5 linked regions of the Coturnix japonica genome follow. The protein of the gene in region 1 binds, or shares a complex with, the protein of each later gene. Links are inferred from orthologs where the notes say so. Each region holds a gene or a part of one and is shown in the gene's direction. Other genes may lie near its edges.

Region 1 (4,090 bases):
TGTATAAAACTCATGGAGACTCCATGACCTGTGGGCATTTTTTGTTTACAAGCAGTATGTATATAAGTATTAGCGGCAGAACTGTTATTTATCACCAAGTTATGTTGTGGTTGATTCTTTCTAAAGTAAATATGTGTTTTATGTCATTATGAAAAATAAGTATTTTTAGTAAGAGCCATCTTGAAATGTTTGAAGCGTCAAAGCTTCAAATACTCGGAATCTTCCATGTTTCAGCCTTGTTTTTCCAAACAACTGTGAGATGAACTGAGAGGTCACGGTGAACCATCTGTCCACGCCAGGGAAGGTGTCTGAGTTGTATCACAGTTTGTGACATCCTCCAACTTTTCTCTAATTACCATCTTGCTTAAGCGCTTTCATGAGCAGATGCTCTACCGACACCATAGTAAATCCTTCAGCTCACTGTAACAGAGAGAGAAAACTGCTCTAACTGGAAGCATACAGGTTAGGCTGGGTTTCAACCCCTGGATAATACAGTATTCTTCGGTTTCACAACAGTATTTTTAATTTTCTACTTGTCTATGTTGAGAGATGACCCAATAGTTTCTATAGGCAGTGAACGTTAGGTTTCTTTTTTTCCTCTTCTCAGATGACTTCTGTGTGAACTACTGTAACCGGCTGCGTTTTTCTATCACAGATGAACTTGTTAACTTTTTGTGTGTCTACAATGAAAACTTATGAATGGAAAACTTCACTGTGTGTTGCTCACTGGGCAGATACCTCATGGTACATTGCACAGACGTGTAAGTTGTAAGTTGCACTGCAACATTAAAAAAAGGAACATATTGCTCTTTTTTCAAAGATATTAACTTATTTAAGAGATATAGTCTGTACATTATTAAACAGAACATTTATTCTTCCTAAATTCAAATGAAGCTTTTGTTTTGGGGGGAGAAAAAAAAAAAGTTGTAAACTTCAGTTGTAAATTTGGACTTCAATAAACGGAATTATCTGCACTTCAACTCTGTGCTCAGGTTGTTTTAGTGCGTGATCACAGAATCACAGAATTATCAAGGTTGGAAAACACCTAGAAGACCATCTAGTCCAACCATTCCCAATGCTTCCTGGCTAAATCATATTCCTCAGCACCACATCCAAGCGTTTCTTGAACACTCCCATAGTCGGTGACTCCACCACCTCCCTGGGCAGCTCTCTATAACTACACTTACGAAGAGTAACCAACAAAGCCCCACGCTGTGACTCAGGCACACACCCAACGAAGGGCAGATCTCTCCGGCCCGGTTCCATCGCCCCATCCGCCGTGCAGCCCCGCCCCGAGCAGGAGGAGCCCTCGGCCGAGCGCTCGGCCCTTCCCTTCCCGCTCGCCGTACGCGGCTGCGGGGCTGTCGCTAAGATGGCGGCCAAGGTGAGTGCCGCCCGGCGCGGGGGGAGGGCGGCCCTTTCCGCTCCGAGGGAGGGCCTGAGGTCCCTCAAAGCCCCGCATCCCGCCGGCTCTCTGTGTCCTGTGCTGCTCAGCTCCCGTCGTAGCCCTGCAGAGGCACCGGGTCGGGCCGCGGGGGCTGTGAGGGCACGAGGTCGCCGTGCTGTCCGGTGCCGCTGTGGGTGGGAGCTGAGGGGGAGGTGTGTGAAGCGGAGCCCTCTGCTGCGGGACTAGTGCCTGTGGGAGCTGCTTCCACACGGCTTGAGTTGTGCCTGTGCAAAATAAACACCAACCTGTAACTGCTCGGTACAGTGACACCTACTGAACGTAGCTGAGGTGATGCTGCCTTCTTTCTCCCCAGTTCTTTGTGATTTCAGTGGGAAGAGTTAAACCTTTCTGTGCCTATGCCAAGATCAGTGTCAGGTAGCAGAGCTGTTCATTGGGTTTTTAAATAGTCATGTGTTTGTCTTCAGGCGTCCAAAAGTGAAGCAATTAGTGTCAGTCAGGAATTGGAGTACTCTCACTGTTCACATTGTAGCTTTTTCTGTTACTTTTACTACAAATAAACTTCGTTGTGACTCTCTGAAGTAATCAAATCTAAGTAAACAATGTAATGCTTTCTTACTTTAAAATTTCCTGGTGGCATCTACTGGAAATGGGAGCGTTGCTTTGGTAGCATCTTGTTCTGAAGTAGGTTACTTCAGTAACAGTACATCTTAAATAGTTTTCTTTAATAATTCATATAAAGCACAGCCTTTTCCTTGGGGATGGGTGTACCTCCCTAAATCTGCTGGAGCTCAGTCTGTTTTTGCAGTTTAAGAAATGCTTCAGGTGAAGAGCAGGAAAGTTGTTGCTGATGGAAGGTGCAGATGCTTCAGTGCGTGTTGGGCTGGTGGTTAATGCACCGTGTGCCTGGGGTGCATCCCATTGGTGTCTTAAGGCAGAGAGGTAAAAAGCAGCTTCCCATGAAGCGGTATTTGAGTTCACCTCTGCGTTAAGGATTTTTCTTTTTCCAAATTTAAGTAGACCTGGAGCTGTTATGACCAGACTTTGTAACTCACACTGTAGCTGACAGGGTTAGAAAGGTTAAGCAGGTGGTTCTTCATTCTGATTTTGTCGCTTACTGTTGACACGTGGTTCTTCCAGACAGCAGTTGGACCATCCTCTGAACTGGGAGATGGCAGATTATTGCAAGTAACACTGAACTTGCCGAAACAAAAATGTCATTCACTGACTTGGAGTAGTTAAATGTTGACAAGGTTAGAACTTAATTTATTGTAAGGAGCAATGAAGGCATCAAAATGACATTGAGCACAGAACTGTGGTCATCTCTATCTCTTTCTTTGCCACTGATATTTGAGAAAATGTCTGTGTACGAAGCATTTATTGAAGGTTGCCTATTTTAGACAGGCTTTTAAAATGACTTGTTTAACCCTGTATTTGGCCAAGCACAATATAGTAGCAAAATTTTGAATGGAATGAGGTTTTATTTCTACATTAAGACTTCCTTCTTTCATCTCTCAGGTGACAAGGCTGGCTGCTGCTTCTTCCTCCCTACCATTCCTGTGTGCAGTATATGCAGCAACAGAGAAGGAATCAACAAGTCAGCTGCTGAAGCCAAACCAGGTGCGGTTCTTACTGCTTTCGTGATTTGTTGCTGTTGATTATCATTAACTTGTAAATAAAAGACATAACTGAGTATTATGTGATCACACAAAGCTCCTCCAAAATAATTGACCACTACAGCACAGATAGAAAGGAATAGTGTAAATGAGTGGAATTTTACCTTGTTTCCATCATTCTGTTGTTTTCTAGAGTTAGAGATAACAGTGTAATACTTTCTGTTAAGAAGTCTTTTCTACCGTACAATTTCTATCAGCAAATTACATGATTCTTCCTACTTGTCTTTCTTTATGCTTTTCATTAATAAAATACGTCTTTGTCACTCAGTGGTTCTACTTCTCCAAGCACGTACAATACTTTGTTTTCAATTGTGAAGAACTGACCTGCAGCCATACCTGTGTAATTAAGTTTCTAAATGTAAAAGAGCGCTATTTGATACACCGACTTTCTTTGCCGAATGGGAAGGCTGAAGATTTGTGGGTTTGAGAAGTGCTGCTCAGCGCCAGTAAATGCAGGTCAGTTCACAGAATGGCCTCCCTGCAGTAGGGTTATACTTGTGATTCCAGCTTCCAATTTACTGCTCGCCGCCTTTGAAATCAAAATACATTGAAGAACAGCCTGGTCGCTTGCAGAAGCAATTCTCTTCAATAAGACAGACAACTGGACACTATATTGGATGGTGTAAGGTAAGAAATGCCTGCCCCCAAGGTTTCCTATAATTCCTAATAGCACTAGACTAAAAGGTTAAAATATATATATATCCTCCTTGACCCTGCTGGAGTTTTTTTGGCAACTTCTTGTGTTATTACAGACCTGTAGTTTCAAATGCAAAAATGAACAGTTTCATTTTTCTCTACTGTTCTTTTAACAGTTCTCCCTGTTTTCCAGTGCAGATGTCAGAGAGCTCAAATAGATCCCTTTCAGTCGATACAAAAGTGGGTCAAGGCCAACTCACGCTGTCAGCTTTAGAAATACTTTTTGCTTAACTTTAGTGGTAAGAGTTCTGTAGGTAACTTCCTGCCAGCATAACTGTTATGTCTGGGTGTCTGAAATTCCAGGTACAGTCCC
Region 2 (4,073 bases), on another chromosome or scaffold:
ATGGTTATTATTATTCTTCACCAGTGCAAAGCAGAGGTATAGACCTGTCGGTGTGTCCAGTGGAAGGCCATAAGAATGATCCAAGGGATGGAACACTTTCCTTTTGAGGATAGGCTGAGCAAGTTGGGGTTGTTCAGCCTGGAGAAGAGGAGGCGCCTGGGAGACTTGAGAGCAGCATTTCAGGACCTAAAGAAGGGGTATAAGAAAGAAGGGGACAGACTCTTCAGTAGGGTCTGTTATGACAGGATAAAGGGAAAAGGTTTCAATCTAAAAGAGAAGAGATTTTACAGTAATAGTGGTGAGGCACCAGTTGCCCAGAGAGGTCCCATCCCTGGAGACACTCAAGGTCAGGCTGGATGGGGCTCTGAGCAACATGATGGAGCTGTAGGTGTCCCTGTTCATTGCAAGGAGTTGGAGCAGATGACCTTTAAATTTCCCTTCCAACTGAAATGATTCTAGCATTCTGTGATATATACTTACTATGTAAATGCCTTTCTCGCCTCACATTTACGACAGAGAAATTCAGAGATGCTTCTTACGTTGGTGGCATCCAAAATGCAGTATGTTTTCTGAGGTTTATACACTAGAAAACACTTCATTCTCCTCTCAGGCCTCTCCCCAGCACAAATCTCTATAGTTCTCTATATCTGGCAATCCAGGCAGGCTACCAGCCCCATCCAACCTACAGAACAGATGTTACCTGCAGAGCAGCCAAATGAACTTTTTATTTTAGGCCGAAGAGAAAATATATTCTGTGTTATTAACATTATTCAGCTCTTGGAACGAAGATTATACATCCAAAGGGGGGGTAATGGTAATTAAAGAAAGGAGTTAATGGCCCAAGGGGGTTAATGGTAATTTTATAACGTTATAAAAATGGATTGAGGTGCTAATTTGGACTAAATGACCTTCAAAGGTCCCTCTTCCAACTCATTCTATGATCAGCCTGTGGGTTCCAGCACAGCTCCGAGGGACACTTTGCACAGGGGCTTGTCTTGAGGTACTATTAACTATTACTTCTTTGGGCTGAGGGAAGAACTACATTACCCAGAGGGCCATGCACACGAGCACCGCGCTCCACCCCCCTCCTCTCAGAGCTAAGGATTCTGGGAGTTGTAGTCTGCCCCCCCAACCTCGGGAAGTTCGAACTGAAAAAGTTTCCCCAGCTTTTCCGGGTGTGCGCGGTTTCCATGTCTACGGCCCCGCAGCCAATAGGAAGAAGGTTTCTAGGCGAGGAAGGCGGGGTTAAGCGAAAGGCGGCCCAATGAGAGGCGGCGTTGTTGTGAGGCGAGCTGGCAGCGGGCGCGGAGAGTCTCCTTGGGGCTGTCCCTGGTTGCGGCCTGTAGCGCCGGGTGAAGATGGGCGGCAGCGGCAGCACAAGGAGAGTCACCTTCGAGGCGGATGAGAATGAGAACATCACGGTGGTGAAGGGTGTGAGGGTGAGAGCGGGGCTCCACCGGGCCTGGGGGGTCTGTAACGGGACACATTCTAATCTGAGGGACACGTGGGGCCTGGCTAACCCAGCGTCTATCTCGTATTTCTCCCTATTTTGTGCCATTATGCTGCCGGTGTCTGTCTCTTGTTCTCTTCTCTTGTTGAGTTTTGCCCGTTTTCTCCCCTCACTCTTCATTATCCTCAGGATAATCGCTTTCTTCTTTGGCACGAAGCTTCCTGTGACAGTGCAGCTGGTCTCCAAGGGCAGAGCTAACGCTGTGCTAAGAGAGATGTGTGACTGGAAGAACTTGTTCTACCTCCTCTGACCTCCACGTCTCAGAGCTGCTCATGTTACTCCATCTGGAGTACTGTGTCCAGATGTGGAGCCCTCAGTAACAAAAAGACATGGAGATTTTGGAAAGGGTCACAGAGGAGGGCCACGAAATGAGTTAGGGGGCTGGAGCACCTCCCTATGAGGACAGGCTGAGGGGTTGGGTTTGTTCAGCCTGGAGAAGAGAAGGTTGCGGGGTGACCTCATTGCAGCCTTTCAATACCTGAAGGGAACTTAACTCCCAGGAGGGGAGTCAACTCTTCGAAAGGGCTGATAATAGCAGGACACGGGGAAATGGTTTTAAGTTAAAAGAGGGAAGATTTAGGTTGGATGTTAGGGGGAAGTTCTTTACTAGGAGAGTGGTTAGGCCCTGGAACAGGCTGCCCAGGGAGGTTGTGGATGCTCTGTCCTTGGAGGTGTTCAAGGCCAGGTTGGACGGGGCCCTGGGCAACCTGATCTAGTAAAGGTGTATGTTTGGTGGCCCTGCTTAGCAGGGGGGTTGGACCTACATGATCCTTGAGGTCCCTTCCAACCCGGGTCATTCTGTGTGATTCTGTGATGTTCCCACGTTCTTTTACAAGCCATGTGAGCCAGCATTTTGTGATTCTGTGGTTCTGTATATCTGGTTTTCAGTTCACTCTACAGAAGCATTCATGCTGTTGCCTGTAACGTAGCAAAGGACAGATAACTTGTGGCACAAGACACTGCAAAATCGTGCAGTGCAGAAGTTTGTCAACAGAAGATGCTGCAGTTCATAGCAGGAATGATTAGGTGTCTTTGATTGCTGCTGGTAGAGAGGAGTGTTGCATAACAAAAAGTGATGTTAATTCCTGCTTTTTCTTTTGTCATATTAATTTTTCCCTGGTCTGGTCGTGTAATGGTCTTGGTCAAATAGGTGGCGGTAACTTTAAGTTACTGTTAAATTACTGACACTTTTAAGTTACACCAGAGTAACTAGGAAGTGCTGTTGAATTTTCTGTATAGTATCCTATGCAACTTCTTTAAAGTATCCTGTAATTTGAAATACTGGCAACAAAAACGGATTGATATAACTAGTGATAGGCAGTACCACCTCACTGAGCTCACATCCACTGTTTGGTCTCCATAAACATTCAGCAAGAGTTGATGAATGTCAGTGGATGCAATTTTTGCCACATGGAGGAGTTCAGTTCCACACATCCCTGTGTCAGATGCCACTTTGTCAGACTGTCCCTCTTCTGCCTCTGTTGCACAGCAAAAAAATGTAATAGATATTGGAGGGGAGGGTTCAACATATACTGCCATACCACCAACATCCACCTTTGACGCTGTGGACCAATAGGCATTACTTCAAGGGCAGCCCTTGTGCTCTACCTTGGGGTACGGTAGGTCTGATACTGGGCACTACTCTTACTCTCTGTTTGATTGTTTGTAATTTGTGAGTGTTTTTGGGTGTGCACATGCCAGCAGTAGGCTGAACTCTGTGGATAACAGTCCTTGCTATGACTGCTGTTGCTCCAGTGCTTTGAGAGCTCTATTAGAATGAAGTTCTGCATCTGCACAGCATGGCGTTTGACCATCATCCAATAGATAATCAATTGAGAAAGGCAAGAAGCCATATTTAATAGAAGTAATGATGTGCTGAGGGATGGTGGTGTGTCCTCTGTTTGACTGTACCACTTTCTTGTGTTCTGTGAGAAGCAAAATGTTCAGTCTTTGTACTCACAGAGAAGCGATCGCCCCACAAAGGAGGGCGGAGATGGTTTAAATAGTTTATTTTATACTGTCGATAACATTTTTGTTCTTATGTCTTATTTTGAAGCTCTATCCTATGTTTTTAAATAAGTTTTATTTCATTTTTGAGGGGCTGATGGTAGTGGAGATGGAGGAGGAGATACAGTCTGACTGATGGTTATGTTTTTCAGCTGTCTGATAGTGTCATTGATCGTATGAAGGAACCTTCTTCACCCAGTGGAAGATTGCAGTCTCAGCGCCGACCACCTGGTGCAGGTATGCATTTATTTCCTATGTATTAGTGGGGGGAAAAAACATGGAGTGTCATTCAGATTATTGTAATGAACTCATTGCCATTTCGTTGATATGATTTTTGTCTGACATCTAACATTTTTCCTTTCGAAGAAAGAAGCAGTTTGATGGGCTTTTAGATGAGTTAAATTACTCTTAATTTTCTTCTAACAATAAAATCTAAAACATAACTGTTCTATGGACTTGGTTTCCGAAGTTATTCTCTGTTGTTAAATAAATTCTTTTTTTAACTGAAAAAAACCCATACAGTGAAGTATGCATTGAGTTCTGAAGTGAAAACTCT
Region 3 (3,075 bases), on another chromosome or scaffold:
ACGACAGGAGGAAAGGAAGGTTAAGTCAGCACAACACTGAGGTGAGTAGGGGAGGCTCCAAAGTATCAGCCTAGAAACACACACACGGTTGCCCTCGGCTGCAGGCAGAGCTCTGAATCTGCCTTCGAGCCCCTCCAGGTTGTCCCAGGAGCAGCAGAATCACAAGAACTGCTGGGAATCCTCACCTGCATGAGCCAGCGGCTGTGCTCCACATCCCCGCCCCACATCTCAAACGGGGAAGTGCCGATATGGTTCAGCACGAGGTAGTCCAGCCCTCCTGCGGGCACAGACAGCAGTCAGTAAATACAGGGGTAAATACAGCAGATATTTGGCTGTGCTGCCATTCTTGTCCCGCTTACCCAGTTTTTGGACAGCGAACTGAACCACCCTGTCGGGCTCTGAAGGTGAAGACATGTCAGCTGGGAGGTAGAAGACTTTCTTTGCTCCGAGGGTCAGACATTTCTCCATCACCTGCGAAAACAGCGCTGTGCCAATGGCTCAATGTGAGGTGGGGGGGAGGAGCAGCGATAAGGAGCAACATCGGGCTGCGGTGCTGCCCCCTGGTGGGAGAAACACGCGCTGCAACAGCGCTGCTGGGCGACAGCAACGGGGGAACCCAGCACAGGGGAACCCACATGGGGTCAGTGCAGGGGATGGCAGCACAAAACAGCCACAAAAGCCCGAAGCCCAAAGCCCGAGTCCCCGCCGTTCTGTTCCCTCCTCCCTCACCTCCCGCAGCGCCGCCTCCCTCCTGGCGGTCAGCACCATCTGAGCCCCATAGGCCGCATAGCGATAAGCCAACTGCTCCCCGATCCCGGCGCTGGCTCCGGTCAGAAGCACGCGGGCACCGGAAAGGAGCTCTGAGAACGGGACACACGGACACAGATACAGACACACAGACGGACACACGGACACAAGTGTGCGGGGAAACGGGGCACGAAGCGGCGGGTGGGGGCGGATGGAGCCGCTGCTGCAGCCGGGGCCGGTTGTGGCCGCGCTCACAGCGGGGGCTGCGTGTGACTGAGCGGCCGTTACCGAGTGTCGGACCGTGATACCTGCGTGGAACGGGTCGTCCCTGCAGCGCAAACACAGCAGCGCAGCCAGGAGCCCCGCGGCACAAAACAGCTTCGTGATGGGAACCATCGTGTGCGGGACGGGACGGGGCGGGACGGGAACGAGCTGCGGGAACGGAACGGAACGGGATCAGTGATGGGGGACGGGGGGAGTCCGAGCGGAACGGGGCGGGATGGAGGCGATAGAACGGGCTGCCCCCCCACAACGGGAAGGTGTCGGACCGGGTCAGGCCTCATCACCCCGTTATCTCGCTCATCTCCCATCATGTCGCCGCTCACAGCGCCACGTTCAGCGGGTGCGGCCCCCACTCCCCGCCCTGCGGCCCCCAGCCCCCTCACTGCCCGCCCCGACCCCTCACCCCAAGATGGCGGCGGCCGCAGCTTCCTACGTGCGCTCGTTGCCGTGGTAACGGTTGAGAAGGAAGTGGTTCTCCACTCTTCCGGTCACGTGAGGCTCCCGGCGGCCCTCGCGGCGCTGCCCTTGGTGCCGTCATGGCCGCCCGCATCGCGCCGCTCATCCGGTCAGTGACCGCGGTCAGACCCGGGATGGGAGGGACGTAACGGCGGGACCGAACCGAACCGAGTCACTGCTTTGGTCCCTGCAGGTTCGCCATCAAGGGAGGCCTGGCCGGAGCCGCCGTGTACGTGTCGTACGATCAGGGGCTGCTGGGCAGCGGGACCGAGGGGGCAGAGGCCTTAAAACGGGCCCGGGAAGCGCTACCGGCTGCGGTGAGAGAATGGAGCGGACACGTGGGATGGGAGGTGAGAGGGAGATAAGGGAGATAAGGGGAGATAAGGGGGGAGATAAGGGGGGGATAAGGAGCAGCATCGGGTCTGTTTGGACCCACAGTGACAGGGAGACCCTGAAGGAACCAGCAGCTTTTCCATATCGGATCCTATTATAAGCTGTCACGTATTTCCCCTCTGCTTTTACTGCAGCTCAGAGCCCAGAGCTCACTGATGCCCATTGACTCTCATTGATTCTCATTGATGCTCATTGATGTAGCACCAAACCCCTTTGGGCTCCGTGATCCCCCTGCCCCCCATTGCTGCCCTTCTTTCTTTCTTTCTTTCTTTCTCTCTGCAGCTCCCACCCGTTCCAACCTTGGATTTCTCCCCCTCGGATTCCTGGAATAAAGGTAAAATCCCATTTCATTATTTGTGGGAAGGGGCCAGTGCTGCAGCTTGTCATAGAACCACACACTGGCCGGGGTTGGGGTTGGTGCCACAAATCAACCTGCCATGTGCCTCCATTGCTGCTGTGCTGTGCTGACTGTCCATGTCCCTTACAGGGGTGCACACGCTGATGTCTGCCCTGTCGGTGGCTCCCAGCAGAGCGTGTGAATACACGGCTCAGGGCTGGAACTACCTCAAGGATCTCGTCAAGTGAGCTGAGCACATCCTCTGTCCCGCTCTCATTCTGTCCGTCCCGTGCTGCTCCCACAGCTCAGCCACAAGGGCTGCAATAAAAGACTTTGAAGTTCTGGTTTCATTGGGGTTGGTTTTGACAAATAGCCCCCATTGCTCCATGCCTTCATAGCAGTAGGTGCCTCAGAGACGACTGCAGCCGTGAACTGTAAACTGTTTTTTTTTTTATTTATGGAAAATGGAATGCTTCATTAACAAACAGTTTTAAATGAGGATATGAACAACACGTTACAAAACAAATGAGTTCACATTGGATCGAGTGACGTCGTATGGCAGCAGCTTAAAAAAGAAATTCCACTTACAGTGACCCACGAGCTCCAAGGGCCGGACACCCCAGGGACAAACCAACTGCAGTTGCCACGTAGCGTTAGAAATTAAAACATTCAGTAGCGACGGTTGAAGCGAGGGTCGTTGGGTCGGCTCGCTCGCTCCTGGCCGGCAAATCCCTCCCCTTGCATCCCCCCTCCGTGCATCAGCTGACTTTGGTTCCCTCCTTGCATGAACCCTCCTCGCCTGCAAAGTGGGGCAGATGGTTTGGGGTTGGTTCTCTCCAATGAAGCACAGGAATATTCTG
Region 4 (3,941 bases), on another chromosome or scaffold:
ACGTGCAGTTCCAAGACAGTTTGTTCCAATTCTGGGACTGTTAAGCTGATAACTGCAATAAACTGGTTTCTGAGACAGACTGTGCTTCCCCTGGCTTTGGGGAGGTCAGCTCTAGGGGAACCTACCCGAGTCATTTGGTAGGTGGAGATGTGCTGTAGGTGATAGCAACTTCCCATTAAAAGCAGTAGAAAGAGAGGAAATATGAAACATTTCAGCACTGTGTATCTCTTGCTCCAGCTGTTCCTGAAAAACAATATTGGGGTGAGAGCTCTTGGGGAATCATTGTGCAGCATGGAGGTATCAGTTTAGAATCACAAGTGTGTGCAGGGAAAGCATTTCCCACTTAGGGGAAGAAGCAGTTTGGGTAAGAACACAAAGTTCTGTCAGTTGCTGAAACTATGCAGGCCCCTCACTTATCTTCTTTTTGTTAATGAGCAATGCAGCCTCTCAGTTCTGCAGCCTGAGGACTTTGCCCTGCAGGCTCCTGGGTAGCATTGATACTATTAGTAATATATATAGAGAGGAGTGTGCTGTGCTCCTCCCGTTGCTTGATGTGAACCTGCATCAGCCACATTTTACTTGTCAAAGGGATGGATGATGTGGTGTCCGAATTGCTCCTGTTTTCACTCTGATCCTTTGCAAGTGTGGGGGAAACCTGCAGAGCCTCCCTGGAGTCTGTTGGCCTTGGACAGGGCTGAAAGCTGAATGTCTCAGCAGGTCACCTATGCAGGTGGTCAGTGTGTCCACCCTGTCCTTTGGCAGCAGGACTTTAGTCTGTGTGCTGCTCCTGTGCTGGGCCATGGGCCGACCTTCCTTCTGGTGTATTTCTTTGTATATAAGGCTTTGGGCCGTGTTCACAACGGGCCTTGAGCAGAAGTGTTGTGTGTGTTGGGGGTGTGTGTGTGTATAAAGAGCCTAAATATAGAATAAATGTATATTTTTGTTTGTAAAATAAAAGAATACGGTGAAGTTTGGCATAAACGGTTATACTTTCTTTCTTAAACGACGTGTATTACGGAGAATTAACAAAAATCAATGAGTTTAGCAGGTATTAACGGAGCCTGTTTTCGGAGTTCAATCCACACCATTGGCCGCCTCGGTGCTGTTCGCCAATGGGATCCCGTTATGTTGGCAGGCGCCGGCAGAGGGGAGGAGCTGCTCGGTGCTGCTGGGCGAGGAGGGGGGGTTGAGGCATCCCCAAGGGCCGCCCCGCCGGCAATGGGGGGCAGCGAGAGCAGCCAGGGCGGCAGGAAGGTTTCCTTCGGGCTGGATGAGCGGGACCAAGTCCGGGTGCTGCAGGGCATCAGGGTGAGGCGCTGCGGGGCGGCGGGCCCGGCCGCGGCTTGACTCGGTGGGAGTGCGGCAGCCCCGGGCCGGCCTGTGCCCACAGCGGCTGTATTTCATATTCCTTTGGTCTGTATTCCTTTGGATGCCATTTGTGATGATACACACTGTGTGTGTGCCCGTGGGCTGACCGTGAAGGCTGCGTTCTGTTGGCTTTCACAGCTCCGGGTATCTTTCTATTGGCAGCCCCTTCTCACTATGTTTCTATAGAATGGAATTATTTTGAGTTAACTGCTGCCTTTCAGGTTGGAATTAGGCAGGTGTGACCCTTAGTGTGTCCTTAGGCTGGAAGTTTTATTGCCCATTGATAGAGTATGCATTTGTGTTTCTCAGTGTTGAGGTCACAGCCTGGCTTTAATGGAAATTAAAGATGTAATTGAAAGATGAAAGGTGAAGATGCATTGAAAGATGTAACACAGCTCTGTGTCCTTGTGTGCTACGGCCATCTGCTTGGCAGATGGAAATGACTTCTGTATGGCCTCTAATGCCATCCCTTGCAAGGAGAGCAGCAGAGCACCCTCACTGTGAGGGTGGTCAGGCTTCCTAGTGAGATGATTGGTGCCCAACACCCCTCAGTGTTCAAGAGGCGCTGGGATGATGCCCAGTGATAAAGATAATGCTTTAACTTTTCGTTAGTCCTTGAGTGTTCAGGCAGTTTGATCAGATGTCTTTGGTCCCTTCCAAGAAACAGTTCTGGTTTTGCAGCAGCTTATAAACCAACAAATTAGACGCCTTTATACTGAAATACATGTACATTAAATGGTTAGTTAACTAAATGATTAATTGCTTTCTTATGTGTGTGTTTTAGCTCACTGAAGATGTAGTGAATCGAATGAAAGAATCTCAAAGTAAAAGGGGCAGCCAGAGGTCACCCTATTCATCCAGTGGTACAGCTCCATCTTCAACAGCTGCAGAAGGGAAACCCAAATCTTCTACAGGTACTGCCAGTCTCTGTCAGGTCTATTGATTTGACACCTGTAGGGGAACTGTTAGGCCAGGATTTGATCTGGTGGTGAGCACTTGGTAAAGGGATGCAGCTGGCCCAGGGAGCGCAGGCAAATTGTTTGCACCTGGTCTCCCTATGAGACCAGAAGGGGTGGAGTCCCCCTAGGCTCTCATATAAATGCCAGCCACTGAAGGGAAAGCATCTCTTGGACCTATGCTGCTTCCTGCAAAGGAGTGTGTATAAAGGAGAGCCCCTTCACCAGCTGGGTGAGTTCCAGTCTTCTTTCTGTATATGTCTATTGGCCTACCTGCAAATACTTTATGTGGTGTTGCCAAGAACACATCAGAAGTAATGTTGGTGCTTTGTGAGAAGGACAATATGCTGCTTAGCACTTCTGTTTGTGTTACATAGCATGAACTATCCTGAGAAGAGCTGCTGAAATGCTGTGGTTCTTGTTCTGTTGTTGTGGGACATTAAGGAAGACAACTTGTTTATGTAGATGCTCTTGTTTTGTCTTTAGAATGCCTTGGTTCTCAGATGCATTAAGGAACTTGTGTGACTTTGAGTGTAGAAGTTCAGATAAACACACAATAAGCAAGGCAGTAATTCAGTAATTTTTTAATGTTATCTTTTGTTTCTTGAAACTTGTTTTACTGTCCCTTTTCCATGCAGATGGGAGTATGTGGTGGGGGGGGGGGAGATGCTGCCTTTTGTCCTTTGGAAATAAACTCATTCTTGGAGGGGAAGTGACTAAACACAGGTTATATGACACATCAAGTGAACAGTGAGAACACGATTTCTGAACTTTACTTTCTTTACAGTTAATAAAATGATTTGATTTTATTGGTTTGCAAATATACTTTGTTGATAAACTTTATCAGTATGGATTTAAGGCATACAAACTAACACAAAGTTAATGAACCAGGCCTTTGCTGTTAGAAACTGGTTTGCTGTTAGCCTACATCTTTTCCGAAAGTGGTTTCAATTTTATGGATGAACTCCATTAAATAACTTAATCTCTGTAATTGCAAGGAAAGCAGGAAGACTTAATGAAGCTAGAAGAAACAACTAGAAAGTGGGACTAAAGCTATGCTTATTTTCCAGTATAAAGCAGTGTCTGTGTGTAACATCCTTACTTGGTTCAGTGTGCCTTGTTGAAGGCAGTGCTGACAGTGTTGTCAGTATCTCTTTCTTTCATTAAGTCTATTTCCATCAGATTTAAATTTTCTTGAGACTTGTCTAGGATTGTTATTTATCGTCTTGATGGAATAACATGTATTAAGTATTCTCTTCTTATCAAACAATTTAGGCTGTGTTCTGTATTACAGTTCTTATGGGTTTCTGTTCTTTCTCTCTAGGAATCCAGCCACCAGGTAACTCTGATCAGAAGGCTACAGTTGCGGAGCAGGAACTGTACAGGAGGTGAGTTTAGCTCCTTTTATGCTGTGAGATAGACTGACTCCTTTTACTGTGGTCTGTCCTTTCATCTTGTCCAAAGCAGTATCTATTTATCTAACTAACTACTTTATATCATTGCAACTTTTAGGTGGTAATTAAGTACTTAATAGAGCTAAATAACTGAAATATAAATTTGTATGGGTCTCAGTTTGCTGTTTTTGCCTGACTTGTATGTTTGTGAAAACTGCGGGTC
Region 5 (4,284 bases), about 69 Mb from region 1:
TTACTTTGTGTCCTATTGCACAACACAAACTCTCTCAAGCGTTTCTTCTGGGCAGTAGATTTCTTCCACAGTTTCTTCTTGTAACCAGACTGCCAGGAGAAAACAGACAGTGAGTTGCTACCAATAGGGACGTATAGCAATTCTCACACATAAGCACAAAACCCCCACTTTTAGGAAGCCAGGAGATGCAAACTTCCATACCAGCTTCCTCTGTCTATCAGAGCAAAAGCAATGAATCAATGAATCATAGAATGGCCTGGGTTGAAAAGGACCACAATGATCATCCAGTTTCAACCCCCTGCTGTGTGCAGGGTCACCAACCAGCAGACCAGGCTGCCCAGAGCCACATCCAGCCTGGCCTTGAATGCCTGCAGGGATGGGGCATCCACAGCCTCCTTGGGCAACCTGTTCCAGTGCATCACCACCCTCAATGAACCCACTGCTTTAACACCTGAACAAAACTAAATCCTACCTTCCTCCTCACCCAAAGCCCACAGTGCAGCCGCAGAAATCTCTTAACGACAGCTTTCACAGTCTTCCTCTTTCCCTTCCGTAAGCCGTAATAAGTGACGGGCCTCGTGGGCTGCTGAAGGATGTTGGGAAGCAGAGGAGTGAGTCTGAGGACCAGGGAAGGACACGGTGCGCCGGGCACGATCCCTTTGGACGGCGGTTTGGGCAGCGGAGCCGCAGCCCACACCGGGCTGTGGCAGCACCGAACGGCGGCGGTTCGTCCTGCAGCCAGCGGGGCCCAGCGTGACAGCGGGCGCAGCATCCCTGCAACGAGAGACAGAATCACAGAATGAGCCGGGTTGGAAGGGACCTCAAGGATCATGTAGTTCCAACCCCCCTGCCTGGCAGGGCCACCGAACATACACCTTTACTAGATCAGGTTGCCCAGGAGACCCCATAGATCCCCACAGAGACCCTATAAATCCCATAGATCCCCATAGAGACCCCATCGATCCCATAGATCCCACAGATCCCCATAGAGACCCTATAAATCCCACCGATCCCCATAGAGACCCCATAGATCAGGTTGTCCATGGCCCTGTCCAACCTGGCCTTGAACACCTCCAAGGACGGGGCATCCACAACCTCCCTGGGCAGCCTGTTCCAGGGCCTAACCACTCTCCTAGTGAAGAACTTCCCCCTAACGTCCAACCTAAATCTTCCCTCTTTTAACTTAAAACCATTTCCCCGTGTCCTGCTATTGTCAGCCCTCAGGACGGTGAGCAGCCCCGCACCGCCGCCATTTCACGGGCACCCCCCGCTCCGACATGGCGGCCCGGCTCCCTCCGTCAGCCACAGACCCGTGAGGGCCGCTCTCACAGCCGCCATGTCCCTCAGCCCGGCTCAGGCTCCGCCCGTCCCGCAGGGCGCCCAGTCCCCGCTGTGAGGAGCACAGTCCCCTCGCGACTCCTCCTAAGATGGCGGCTCACTCTCTCAGCGCAGTATCCCCGCCCCCCCCGGCGGATGTGCGTCCCGCGCATGCGCAGTGCGCCGTGCAGCCGGTGTGTGGAGTTGCATCGCGCGGCGCGTCGGTGCTGCCGGGTGCGGGGCGATGCTGCGGGTCTGTCAGCGGGCGGGGGGAGCGGTGACAGCGCAGGTGAGCGGGGATGGGTCCGGTGGGGAGCGGGGGGGAGATTTGGGGCCTTGTGGGGGGAGCACGGCTGGTTCTGGTCGGTGTGAGCACATTGCGGCCTAACGATGACAGCACTGGGCGGCGGGACGTGACCTTGTGGATGTGGGGCCTGGGCTGATGGATGGGAACCGCTGTTAAATGAGGATGGGGGTGTGATGGGGAAACTGAGCTGAGACGGAAAGCAGAGTAACGATGGTGGCTGTCACATAGAGCTCTGTGATGTGTGAGACATGTCCTGAGCGGCTGCGGGGATGGAAAATCACCGTGTTTGGAATCATTGAGTCATAGAATGGCCTGGGTTGAAAAGGACCACAATGATCATCCAGTTCCAACCCCCTGCTGTGTGCAGGGTCACCAACCAGCAGCCCAGGCTGCCCAGAGCCACATCCAGCCTGGCTTTGAATTCAAACAAGATTATTTGATGGCCAAAGGGGCCGATGCAGCTTTAAGAAACTACTGCTTAACCAGTTTTTCTGGCAGATCTTCATTTTGAGGTAAAATAGGAGGTAAAAATGTTGGGTAACGTTATCCCCGCTAAATAGAATAGGGTAAAATATCACTCCTCACATGGTAATTTCATTTATAGTATAATGAGATCTCTATCTTGAAAGCGGCTGCGTTGTTCTTGTAGGGAGCTCATAAAGAAACGTGTTTGTGTCTCTTGAATGAGCTGCAGGTCTAAAGGCAGCTCTGGTTTCTGCACTGAGCTGCTGTAGCTCTCAGACCGAGCTGAACTAACATGCATTGGGATGAGTTGAGGCTGAGATGTGCTCAGTGCCTGACTGTGCTCTCCTCCACCCCTCACAGAGCTGCTGGTGCAGGAGGGCATCGCTCCGTCCACCTCGACTGAGCCGTGGATATGCGACCTCGTCGGGGGAGTCCGGGTGCGTTGGAGGGGTGGTTCCTTCCATCCCTTGGTTTGTCCCACACTCTTGGGTTGGTGGCCGCCTTCTGGATCACAGTGGGTGTTCCCAGGTGTAGGCTGGAGGTTTAAAACCTATCAGAGGCTTTATTGTCGTGCAATACGATTTACATCGTTTCTGTTTTATCCCTCTCTCCACGCAGTGTTTCTGTAGGCAAAATCATCGGTGCAAGCGTCTTGTTTGTGGGTGGAGGAGTCGGGGGAACCGTCCTGTACGCCAGCTACGATCCACACTTCAGGGAGAATGTAGAGAAAGCCATTCCCTACTCTGACAAACTGTTTGAGATGGCCCTTGGTCCTGCACCGTACAGTGTGCCCATGCCAAAGAAACCGGTAAGCATCTCCCAATCACCTATTCAGCTGACGGCTGTGTAATGGTGCTGCTCGCATGTTTCCCTTTATCATGGAATCATAGAAGGGCTCAGGTTGGAAGGGACCTCAGGGACCACCGAGTTGCAACCCCCTGCCACATGCAGGGCCACCAGCCTCCACATTTAATACCAGCCCAGGCTGCCCCATCCAACCTGCCCTTGAACACCTCCAGGGATGGGACATCACAGCCTCTCTGGGCAGCTGTTCCAGCACCTCACCACTCTCATAGTACAGAACTTCCCCCTGACATCCAACCTAAATCTTTCCTCCCTCAACTTAAAACCATTTCCCCTTGTCCTGCTATTATCTACCCTTCCAAAGAGTTGACTTTCCTCCTGTTTATAGGCTCCCTTTAGGTACTGGAAGGCTGCAGTGAGGTTACCCTGCAGCAGTTTTCAGCTGCATGTTCTTCACTTGTGATCATGGAGGCTCTTAGTGCCTTCCAGGCACCGAGTAAACTTTAGCATCACACAGACTGCTCAGACTGAAATCCTGATCTGCCCAGTTATGGCTCTGACTCAGATGCTTTTGTTCTTACCTTGTGGCTTTGCACGATGGTTACTGAAAAATGAATACTTTCTTATTTTTGATTCTCAAGATACAACAAGGTCCACTGAAGATCTCATCTGTAGCAGAAGTAATGAAAGAATCCAAACAGCCCGTTCCCAAATCCCACACAAGCAAAACAGAAGCTGTTGCTCCTTCAGAGGAAAAAGAAGGTAACCTTATGGAATGTCACACGGAGAGAAGCAGAAGTGCTAATGTTCTCCTGTACCGTACATCCCACAGCAGATGGAGATGGGCTTTGGGGATGGTTGCAGATGTTTGTGCTGTAGTTTTGTTGAATTAATATTATTGATCATAAGGAAGTTTGCCTAGAAGGGCTTGAGCCATTTTTGCTTAGTTTTCAATTAAGTTTATTGACCTTAGAGTATTTGGAATCTAATATAAATGACTGCACTCCATAGTTCTGCATACAAGGCTCACTTTGGGTGCTGGGCTCTTGAGATATTCTATTTCTTCTTCTTAAGCAACTGCAGTATGCCTTAATTGGGATAATTGCTTGAGCTGCTTGTAAAGCCAGATTAAAAGGAACATAGAGAGTCACAGTTGGCATCTTTGTTCCCTTATCTGTCATGTCAGGTGAAGATCTGCGTGTGTGTAATTAATGCTGTCTCCTTTTCTGTAAATAATAACATGAATGTCCCAATGAAGTTCCTCCAGAGGAAAAACCCAGTGTCTGTTATTTCCCTGTTCTCACTTCAGTGCATGTGCATGTTTCAGTTCTGTAACTGTACTTAACAGCAGGCACAGCTGCAGCACAGATCATCTCTGCAACAGGGGTAGC

What was found.
Region 2: APOOL (region 1) and CHCHD3 share a complex: the UniProt entries of both Homo sapiens proteins name them as parts of the mitochondrial contact site and cristae organizing system (MICOS) complex. The link is inferred for Coturnix japonica from reciprocal best matches to the Homo sapiens genes APOOL and CHCHD3.
Region 3: APOOL (region 1) and MICOS13 share a complex: the UniProt entries of both Homo sapiens proteins name them as parts of the mitochondrial contact site and cristae organizing system (MICOS) complex. The link is inferred for Coturnix japonica from reciprocal best matches to the Homo sapiens genes APOOL and MICOS13.
Region 4: APOOL (region 1) and CHCHD6 share a complex: the UniProt entries of both Homo sapiens proteins name them as parts of the mitochondrial contact site and cristae organizing system (MICOS) complex. The link is inferred for Coturnix japonica from reciprocal best matches to the Homo sapiens genes APOOL and CHCHD6.
Region 5: APOOL (region 1) and IMMT share a complex: the UniProt entries of both Homo sapiens proteins name them as parts of the mitochondrial contact site and cristae organizing system (MICOS) complex. The link is inferred for Coturnix japonica from reciprocal best matches to the Homo sapiens genes APOOL and IMMT.

The regions. Positions count from the first base shown.
Region 1 is NC_029519.1:8,435,798-8,439,887, reverse strand, and holds the start of APOOL (MICOS complex subunit MIC27), read left to right. Parts: upstream 1-1,290; 5' UTR 1,291-1,372; coding exon 1,373-1,384; intron 1,385-2,923; coding exon 2,924-3,025; intron 3,026-3,588; coding exon 3,589-3,708; intron 3,709-4,090. UniProt on the Homo sapiens protein: Component of the MICOS complex, a large protein complex of the mitochondrial inner membrane that plays crucial roles in the maintenance of crista junctions, inner membrane architecture, and formation of contact sites to the outer membrane.
Region 2 is NC_029516.1:1,800,221-1,804,293, forward strand, and holds the start of CHCHD3 (MICOS complex subunit MIC19), read left to right. Parts: upstream 1-1,270; 5' UTR 1,271-1,358; coding exon 1,359-1,439; intron 1,440-3,669; coding exon 3,670-3,754; intron 3,755-4,073. UniProt on the Homo sapiens protein: Component of the MICOS complex, a large protein complex of the mitochondrial inner membrane that plays crucial roles in the maintenance of crista junctions, inner membrane architecture, and formation of contact sites to the outer membrane.
Region 3 is NC_029543.1:715,155-718,229, forward strand, and holds MICOS13 (MICOS complex subunit MIC13), read left to right. Parts: upstream 1-1,487; 5' UTR 1,488-1,565; coding exon 1,566-1,594; intron 1,595-1,678; coding exon 1,679-1,835; intron 1,836-2,160; coding exon 2,161-2,212; intron 2,213-2,365; coding exon 2,366-2,463; 3' UTR 2,464-2,563; downstream 2,564-3,075. Other genes in the region: HSD11B1L (hydroxysteroid 11-beta-dehydrogenase 1-like protein), read right to left, coding at 186-277, 360-471, 730-860, 1,056-1,143; scaffold attachment factor B1-like, read right to left, coding at 2,885-3,014. UniProt on the Homo sapiens protein: Component of the MICOS complex, a large protein complex of the mitochondrial inner membrane that plays crucial roles in the maintenance of crista junctions, inner membrane architecture, and formation of contact sites to the outer membrane.
Region 4 is NC_029527.1:7,385,528-7,389,468, forward strand, and holds the start of CHCHD6 (MICOS complex subunit MIC25), read left to right. Parts: upstream 1-1,132; 5' UTR 1,133-1,218; coding exon 1,219-1,308; intron 1,309-2,152; coding exon 2,153-2,282; intron 2,283-3,648; coding exon 3,649-3,712; intron 3,713-3,941. UniProt on the Homo sapiens protein: Component of the MICOS complex, a large protein complex of the mitochondrial inner membrane that plays crucial roles in the maintenance of crista junctions, inner membrane architecture, and formation of contact sites to the outer membrane.
Region 5 is NC_029519.1:77,508,568-77,512,851, reverse strand, and holds the start of IMMT (MICOS complex subunit MIC60), read left to right. Parts: upstream 1-1,473; coding exon 1,474-1,606; intron 1,607-2,449; coding exon 2,450-2,603; intron 2,604-2,707; coding exon 2,708-2,897; intron 2,898-3,534; coding exon 3,535-3,655; intron 3,656-4,241; coding exon 4,242-4,284. Other genes in the region: MRPL35 (39S ribosomal protein L35, mitochondrial), read right to left, coding at 1-89, 473-774, 1,311-1,338. UniProt on the Homo sapiens protein: Component of the MICOS complex, a large protein complex of the mitochondrial inner membrane that plays crucial roles in the maintenance of crista junctions, inner membrane architecture, and formation of contact sites to the outer membrane.